Linked DNA regions of Cricetulus griseus. The protein of the gene in region 2 purifies or fractionates together with the protein of the main gene of each other region. This does not show direct contact. Links are inferred from orthologs where the notes say so. Each region holds a gene or a part of one and is shown on either strand. Other genes may lie near its edges.

Region 1 (3,810 bases), on a different chromosome or scaffold from region 2:
AAGTAGGGTAACTCCTTTGCACTTGTTAATCGATCTTCAGTAGCTTGTTTTAAAATATCCTGTTAAAAACAAATGAACAAACAAATTAAAAACCCCAAGTAAATTACAAATAGGAATCTCTATGCTTTCTTTTTTCTAAAAGGTTTCATTCTATGGCAAAAATAAAAATGTCCTCCAGGGCACATGTCAGAGAGACATTGAGAACACATTTCAAATGGTACCAACAGGGCTAGAGAGATGGCTCAGGAATTAAGAGCACTGACTCTTGTTCCGGAGGTACTGAGTGGCTCACAACCATCTATAATGAGATCTGGTGCCCTCTTCTGGCATACATGCCAGCAGAACACTGTATACATAAAAATAAACCTTATCTATCTATCTATCTATCTATCTATCTATCTATCTATCTATCTATCTATCTATCTATCTATCTTCCTTCCTTCCTTCCTTCCTTCCTTCCTGTTTTTTGAGATTGTTTTTCTGTGGCTTGGTGGCTGTCCTGGAACTAGCTCTTGTTGACCAGGCTGGTCTCAAACTCACAGAGATCCACCTGCCTCTGCTCCTGAGTGCTGTGATTAAAGGTGTGCCACCAGGCAGTTGTATCACATGCCTTTAATCCCACACTTGGGAGGCAGAAGTAGAAGCAGAGGCAGAGGCAGGTGGATCTGTGAGTGTGAGGCCAGCCTGGTCTACAAAGCAAGTGTCAGGATAGGCTCCAAAGCTACACAAGGAAACCCTGTCTCAAACAACAAAACACAAACAAACAAACAAACAAACAAACATACATACATACATATTATTAAAAATATACTTTAAGGAATTAGCCTAATTATAGCAGTTACATGTTATAAGTCAGAACATAAGAGAAGACAGAAAATAGCAAGACTAATACATTTCCATGTTCCAACTGACCTTGTAGTCATGGACAATACGTTCTGACACAGCCTTGTCAAGCATCTTTTTGTACCATTCCTGTAGGCGCTTGGGCTTTGGGATCTTCTGATCAGGCGGATGACAATGGAAGATATAGTCATCCCCTTCACTTGGTGGACATGCCCAAATATGCCCTGTTGTGTATCTAAAAATACAAAGATAAGGACATAAAAAAAAAAATCATTTGTGCTAGAGTGTTGTGAATTTCATTTACAGATGGGCTGACATAGTTCTTGATCCTAAAATCTGTACTTTAAGATGAAAAGACACGGGCAGTGGTCATGTACACCTTTTTTAAGTTCAGTACTTGAGAGGCAGAAGCAGGTGCATCTCTGTGAATTTGAGGCCAGTCTGGTCTACAGAGTGAGTTCCAATACAGCCAGGGCTGTTTATACAGAGAAACCCTGTCTCAAAAACTAAAAGGGGAAATCCTGTCTTGAAAATCCAAAAGAAAAAAATGGATACCAATGACAGTATTAGTTGATATTAAATTTCCTAAATTTAATAGGTACTGTAGTTATGGTTGGGAAAAACCTCCTTGCTCTTAAGAAAATATAAATATTTAGAGTTGAGTTAGATTCCATGACAAATAAATAAAAAACAAATAAAAGATAACTATATTGCAAAGGATTAAGAACCCATTCTAACAAAAGTGAAATGCAAGGTGAACTGCTAGGAGGAATCTTCTAGAAGTTAGATGGCATGTACTCTCCAGGATGTAATGTATTTAAAAGGCCAGGACTACCTTCAGATCTTAACTTAGGAACGAACTTGTACTCTCCAGCCTCAAGCCTCCCATATGCTGAAATTACAAATGCACACCATGACATTCAACTTTTTTCATTGTTTACACCCATTACAAAAGGATCAAGGAAAAATTTCATCTTCAAATGAGTACTATCAACACTTTTTTCAATTTTATTTTATGTGCATTGGTGTGTGGGTGTTGTCTGATCCCCTTGAACTGGAGGTACAGACAGTTGTTAGCTACCAGGTGGGTGCTGGGAATTGAACCTAGGTCCTCTGGAAACTGCTGAGCCATCTCTCCAGCCAATATCAACAACTTTTAATTCAAACTGTAAGCATAACGGTTTAACTACACTACTAATGGATTAGTAAGGCAGGGAAACATATAATGACATCAGATTCATATTACAGAGGTTGTGGCTTCACTATATCACAATCAACATGAGAAGGCCAAATACACACTTACACATTTCCACAATACATTATTTTTAAAAGAGAGTAATTGTTAATATGCTTACCCCAATTTCTTGACATATTCTAAGTATCCAATTAAAATTTCATGATAGACTGCAGTCCTCAAGCATTTAGGACGGAAGAAATGAACACTATCGAGGTAAGATATGTACACTCTCCTATATCAAAAACAAGGAGAGAAAAATGTTCTATCACATAGTTATTATTTACATGGCTAAAAACATCTTCCTTTCTTTCCTGTGCTCACTGTTATTTGTAAATTATCATAGGAAAATCATAGATTGTGGCTGAGTGGGGACCAGAGTTGGCCATAGCTTCCATGTAATTTTTACCTGGTTCATGCTATACATATCATTGTTTCTGCCCAGTGTGTTTTTGCACTAGTTATAGTATGAACCCAATCCCCCTGCCATTCACTCCCTCACAAAATGAGAAGCTGGTCATATTAAGTCAGTCCTACCTTTGGTTGGGTGGGGGGCAGTCAGAGCCATACTCTTGAACATGCATGCCAAAGAAACACAAGTCAACACCATCAATTTCTTCAAAGGCAAAAAGGGCCTTGGTTCGGTATGGAAAAGATTCTGCCATTTCTCCACTATCTACAAACCTACACAATTCAGATTGAAAGGAAACCACATATTATTCAGGTGGAATTTATCAACAGTAACTGACCATGCAACAACTGCAGATCTATAAGAGAAGAAATGGAAATTACTAGACACCTTGCTTTCATGCCTGGTTTCACTTCCACAGTTTTGTCAGAAGCATGAACAACCCTAACAGTGACCTCTCCTGATTCAGGGTGATTTTGTCGCCTTAGAAAGTCATTCACTCGATTCTCCAGAAAGGTACCAAGTCTGGTAGATGGCAATCCTAGGAATATAAAAGTTAAAAGTTACCAAGGTGTGGCCTGGCCCAATTCCAAATATTAAAGAGAAGGAAAATACCATGCATCAAATTTTTACTGTCAATCTAGAGGTTCATCTACAAACATAATCTACTTAATTTTTGTATGGTTGTTTGCTTTTCGAGACAGGATTTCTTTTTGTAGCCCTGGCCATCCTGGAACTCAATCTGTAGACCAGTCTGGCCCCAAACTGACAGATATCTGCCTGCTTCGGCCTCCGCTGTGCAGGGTTAAAGGTATCTGTCACCAGCCAGGTGGTGGTGGCACACACCTTTAATCCCAGCACTCGGAAGACAGAGGCAGGCGGATCTATGTGAGTTCGAAACCAGCCTGGTCTACAAGAACTAGTTCCAGGACAGCCTCTAAAGCCACAGAGAAACCCTGTCTCAAAAACAAAAAAAAAACCAAAACAAAACAAAAAAAACCAAAACAAAACAAAAAAAAGGTATCCGCCACCACATAGGACTATGTAAGGCCTAAAATTACCTCTGCAGTGCTAAAGGGGGAAACCTGTGACAATAATTCTAGTCAATAAATTTTACATATGGCCCACATTTTAACATGTGTCAGAACAGAAAAAAAAAAAATTAACAAAAATCCCTTTTAAAGATTTTTTTTTATAGTTCAGTATATAGAATTATTTCATTTTGCTGGGCGTTGGTGGTGCACGCCTTTAATCCCAGCACTTGGGAGGCAGAGGCAGGCAGATCTCTGTGAGTTCGAGGCCAGCCTGGTCTCCAGAGTGAGTG
Region 2 (4,592 bases):
AGCCAGCATGAGAAGCTAGCGGCAGTCTGGAAACTTGAAGGTCCAGGTGTCTCCATTCCTTGGGTACCCTTGCCCTGGCATCAAGTACCAGAATACTGCTGAAAGGTACTTAGACTAGAGTCTGGCTTAGGGCCTGGACTTGGATTCCTGGCCATCCTGGGACCCGGCTTCTATTTATCTTAATTGCTCTGCCCTGCAAATCTCCACTTGAGCACATCCATACTTAGCTCTTCCCAGAGTCAGGAACCTTGGAAGACTGGTGAGACCTCTGCTTCATCTAAACTCAATAGAGCTGGACATGGTTCCCTCTGTCAAAGCCTGTTAGCCAGCCAACAATGAAAAGGCTTGCTCTTAATTGTTATGGATTAGTATATACAGGGATGCCTGGGAATAGAAACAATCCTTCTGGATTCTTGAGGGGCTGTTTCTAGAATGAAAAATGTTCAATTATATTCTAGAGAAGAAACAGCTCTTAAACCAATAAAAATACAAATCTTTCAGGAAACCCTGCAGCTCACAACAATTTCGTGAGGCATTCAATGCCCTGCTTCACAATTTTTAAATACATCTCGATGCTCTAAGAAGCCAGCCAATATAACCAGAGTCTCAATGCCATTGGCCTAACAGGCATTGGGCAGTGAGGGAACTTGCACAAGGCTTGCCCTGCCTTACCTTAACACACGCAAAATCCCTGCTGGGCTACCACTAGGGAGCTGCACACCCGCAGCGGCCTCCTAGGAGGTTCACAGGCCAGCGTGTTTCACTGGTTCTTAAAGCGGCCGCTTGCACTCATCGGTAATTTGTAGTGTTATTATGCAACTGTCTTCCTGTTCCTACTGGGGCTCCCCGCACCCTCCAACAGCCCTCTGCTAAGGAGGCTTCTGTAAGTCGGGTATGGAAGCAGCTTTTCCCATGATTGGTAGACCTAAGAGCAAGATGACACTTCACACCGATTACCATCAGGCCTCATCTGTACAAATGCGACAGTCACCCATAGGCACCGCAGGAATAAAAAGTTCAGTAAGTTCCCCTGGCGGCTCTGGGCTGTCTGACTTCGCGGTTTTGATTATGACTGCATTCTGATTGCCTTTACAGCTTGAGTCTTTTCCCTTGCTTGTATAACCTCAAAGGACACAGCACCCCAGAGCTGTTTGGTGGGCAACAACGGGGAATCTAGAACCCGACTCAATACCTTCCCCCTAGAGATCCGTCAGCGCACGGTGCGGGCGCCTGGCCAGGACGGGTGCGATTCGCTCGTTTATCAAATCCTTATCGGTGCCCTGAGGTGGGAGCTGTCGCTTTCGACCAGAGGATACACTGTTCCTGGCTCGGGTCCCTAAGTGGAAGTCCAAACAAAAGCCAGTCTGCTCTGGGGCCGAGTCCTCAGCGCAGTCCTTTCCATCCTGCCTGCGGATCTCCCGCGCGGCCCGCGCCACTCTGACATCCTGCGTTCGATTCCAGCCACCCTAGCCAAGTAGCCGCTGAGCCCAGTGTTAGACGCTCTAGCCCAAAAGGCTCGCACCGGTCGAAACAGGAGCAAAGGGCCAGGCGACTAGCCACAAACTTTTGCAGGAGGCGAGGGTGTACCCAGGGCTGCGCGGCAGCGTGGTGCGCTCGCACCCAGGCTCTGAGAGAGCCCTGCCGGTGTCGCCTGATCCGGGGCGGATTGAAGGAGACACTAGGGCAGCGCGAGTTGGCCGGAGTTGCCTCTCACCCAGTGCGGAAAGATTCGCGAGGACAGGCCTTCGTGGTTGCCCTTCTCTGTCTTCTTCAGACACTCGGAGAGGTCCGGTGTCGCCGTCCTCTCTCTGCACACTAAGACACCTGCCCCCGCAGGGCAATCCAGGTCACTACCCACTCTCTGGTGGAGTCCAGATGCAGGGCGAGGGAAGGGGGTGTTCTAAAACTTGAGTGCCTTCAGGAGCAGGGCACTTGGCCGTGTTCCGGCTCCTGGGGCCAGGAAGCGCCCCCGAGTTGCGCTTTGCCCTCTGTCCCTTACTAGTTTGGGGCGCGGAGCCCGCAAAGGAGAGCTCTCGGAAAGACCTGAAGGGGTCTTAGGAAAAGAAAGGCGTGTCTGCTCAGCAGGTAAACCCTGAGAAAGTCGAGGGCATCAGCCCAGAAACATTTCAAACCCCAGAGCTTGGTGTTCTGGGGACGACAGACTTTGGAAGGCGCCGCGGAAGCACCCCTGACCTCCAGGGCCACCTCTCTGTGACTCAAGGTCTCAGAACGATCGGGTTCGCGACTTTGTTGTGAAGCGGCAGCTGCGCGTCCGTAAAGTCCGCACCTGCTCGCTCACCCACCCACCCACCGCCACCTCCAGAGCGGTCCCCCGGCCTCCGAGACCTCCCGCAACTGTCCCGGGTCGCGCCCGCCTCGCGCGGTTCCGCCACTGCCTGGCACTGAGTTGGTCGCCGGTTCCGACGCCCGCTTACCTTTTCTTCTCCTTGTCAGCTGTCATTGTTGCAGTGTCCCTCCGAGACCCGGAGCACCTGGGTTCCTTAGGCCGGTAGGGGCTGCAGCCGCTGCCTTAGCTGTGGCCCTCGGCGGCTCTCTGTCGCCCCGGCAGGTGTGAAAGGTCTTTAGTGCTCGCAGGTCCGAGTGTCCCGCACAATCAGGTGGAAGTTTGGCGGACGCCTGGCTAGGTGCGGAGGAGGAGGAGGGAGGAGAGGGGTGGCGGGGAGGAACCTGTAGGAGGAGGCGGGGCCGGGGAAAGGAGTGGGAGGAGGTTGTAAGACGCCAAAGGAGAGAGCAGAGACAAGGGACCTGAAGTTCCGTTTATCCGCAAACAGGAGTCAGTTTTCTGGGATGTCACAAAACAAAACCAACCAGCCAACAAACAAAAACAGTGGCTCAAAGAGAGCGAGTTGGAAAGAATCCGGGGCCAGGCGAGTGCGGCCGCTGAGATGACCATACAGTCTCAGGACACTGCCGAGGATTGTACGGCCGCCTCAGGAGAGCTGGAGCGGAACGCTGGAGACTCCGAAGCTGTGCACCGGCCGCTCTCGAATGTCCGGTTTCCTCGGCTGCCAGCCCACTTTAAAAACTCGGACGGCCCGCCCGCGGGAGGGCGCGAGGGGCGCGGGAGTCCCAACAGCGGCCCGGGGGCGGGGCCGGGGTGGGGAATGGGCGGGGCCGGGGCGGGGAGACAGACAAGCTCCGCCCCTACCCGCTGGCTGCCTCGTCCCGGCCAATGAGGAGGCGCCGGCACAGCCTCTGCCCTCACCCGGGACCGCCCCTTTCTCTCCGGCTGAGCTCCTCCCTAGCTCGCCCAGCCCTGCCTCCTCCTTCCGCAGATCAGCACTTGTTTTTGTGGTACTCTCAGCGCCGGGCTGAGTAGTGGAAGGGGTCGGCTACCCGAGCCCAGAGAGTGACTTCGCTCCAGGGTCCTCTCAGTAGCACATTTCCCTGAACCAGGGCAGGACCGCGGGGTCGGGGTGGGGTGGGGGGGGTCCCACGCGCAGCGGAGGCGTGAGCCGCACTCACAGGTGCTGCTATGCGTCCCTGCCCCAGCTGTGCGGCTTCCCCTGACAGGTGGGAATAATTCCCAGGACTCCGACTGCAGTGCTGCTTGCCAGCCTGGGTGGTGCGCTCTTTTTGGCGAAGCGCAGCTGACCTTGACTTCTGAGTCCCGAGAGGCAGGAGGGGGAAAAGGTGTGGGAGAAAATGTGACAAAAATAAAATTATTTAGGGTTGCTCCTGCGGTGTCTTTTTCTCTACCAGTTTGTGGGTTGTTTGAGGTGCTTGTGGTCGGCTGTTAGGTTATGGCGCATACTAGAGAAGAGGGCCTTGGAGTTCTCCGGCCTGCCTTTGCCAGGCCTCAATAAATAAGCCAGCATCACCATGGGTTCCCTGGTGTGATCTTGGGGGTGAGCGTTGATAGCACACCCCAAGTCACTGGATCTGCCCGCCCTCTTGGGCTCCAGGGTTATCGAATAATAACACCACCTTCAGGAAGTGATGGATCTAAAGTCCCTCACGAGCAGGCAGAGAGCTCTTTTGGCCTTTTCCACTTGTGAGGTGCTCCTGCCCTGACACTTTCCCATTTCCTAATTAGGTGATCCAAGGGGAGATCTCCAGAAGGAACAAGCGAAGACTGGGAAAAAGGCCCATGAGCTTCACATGTGTGACTTACCCAGAAAGCAAGCAACTGCAAAGTGAGCTGTCCTGGGACCCAAATCCAGTACGCACTGCATTACTCTCTCACCAACGTTTCTTAGTAAAATTATAAGCAGAAACCCGGTGTGTGTTGCTGCGGGGGGGGGGGGGGGGACACGGATCTTGAGTTTGTGTAGGTACACAGGAAGAGAGGCACTTTTCAGGCATTTTCCCAGAGACTTGGGAAGGTATCTGAAGGAACCAGGAGAGCAGGGAAATCAGAAACGATAGACACTCTCCTTGAGAACTTGGAAATCAATCCACATACCTGACCGTGATCTCAAAGATCATTCATTTGTTTCACTCAAAGAAACTGGTGGGTGATTTCCTACAGCACTTCTCCATCCAGACAACACTGCCAGACTCATTTATTTGTCTTAATGAGAAACGCAAATTATTAGACATGGTTATAATAAACGGTAAGCATATTTAAG

What was found.
Region 1: the proteins of Epas1 (region 2) and Ep300 purify together in Homo sapiens (affinity purification with western blotting; 4 studies listed by BioGRID and IntAct, with this or other methods). This does not show direct contact. The link is inferred for Cricetulus griseus from reciprocal best matches to the Homo sapiens genes EPAS1 and EP300.

Annotation. Positions count from the first base shown.
Region 1 is NC_048595.1:378,786,659-378,790,468, reverse strand, and holds part of Ep300 (histone acetyltransferase p300), read right to left. Parts: intron 3,028-3,810; coding exon 2,877-3,027; intron 2,762-2,876; coding exon 2,615-2,761; intron 2,313-2,614; coding exon 2,199-2,312; intron 1,079-2,198; coding exon 913-1,078; intron 60-912; coding exon 1-59. UniProt on the Homo sapiens protein: Functions as a histone acetyltransferase and regulates transcription via chromatin remodeling. Acetylates all four core histones in nucleosomes. Histone acetylation gives an epigenetic tag for transcriptional activation.
Region 2 is NC_048598.1:88,387,233-88,391,824, reverse strand, and holds the start of Epas1 (endothelial PAS domain-containing protein 1), read right to left. Parts: upstream 3,105-4,592; 5' UTR 2,462-3,104; coding exon 2,436-2,461; intron 1-2,435.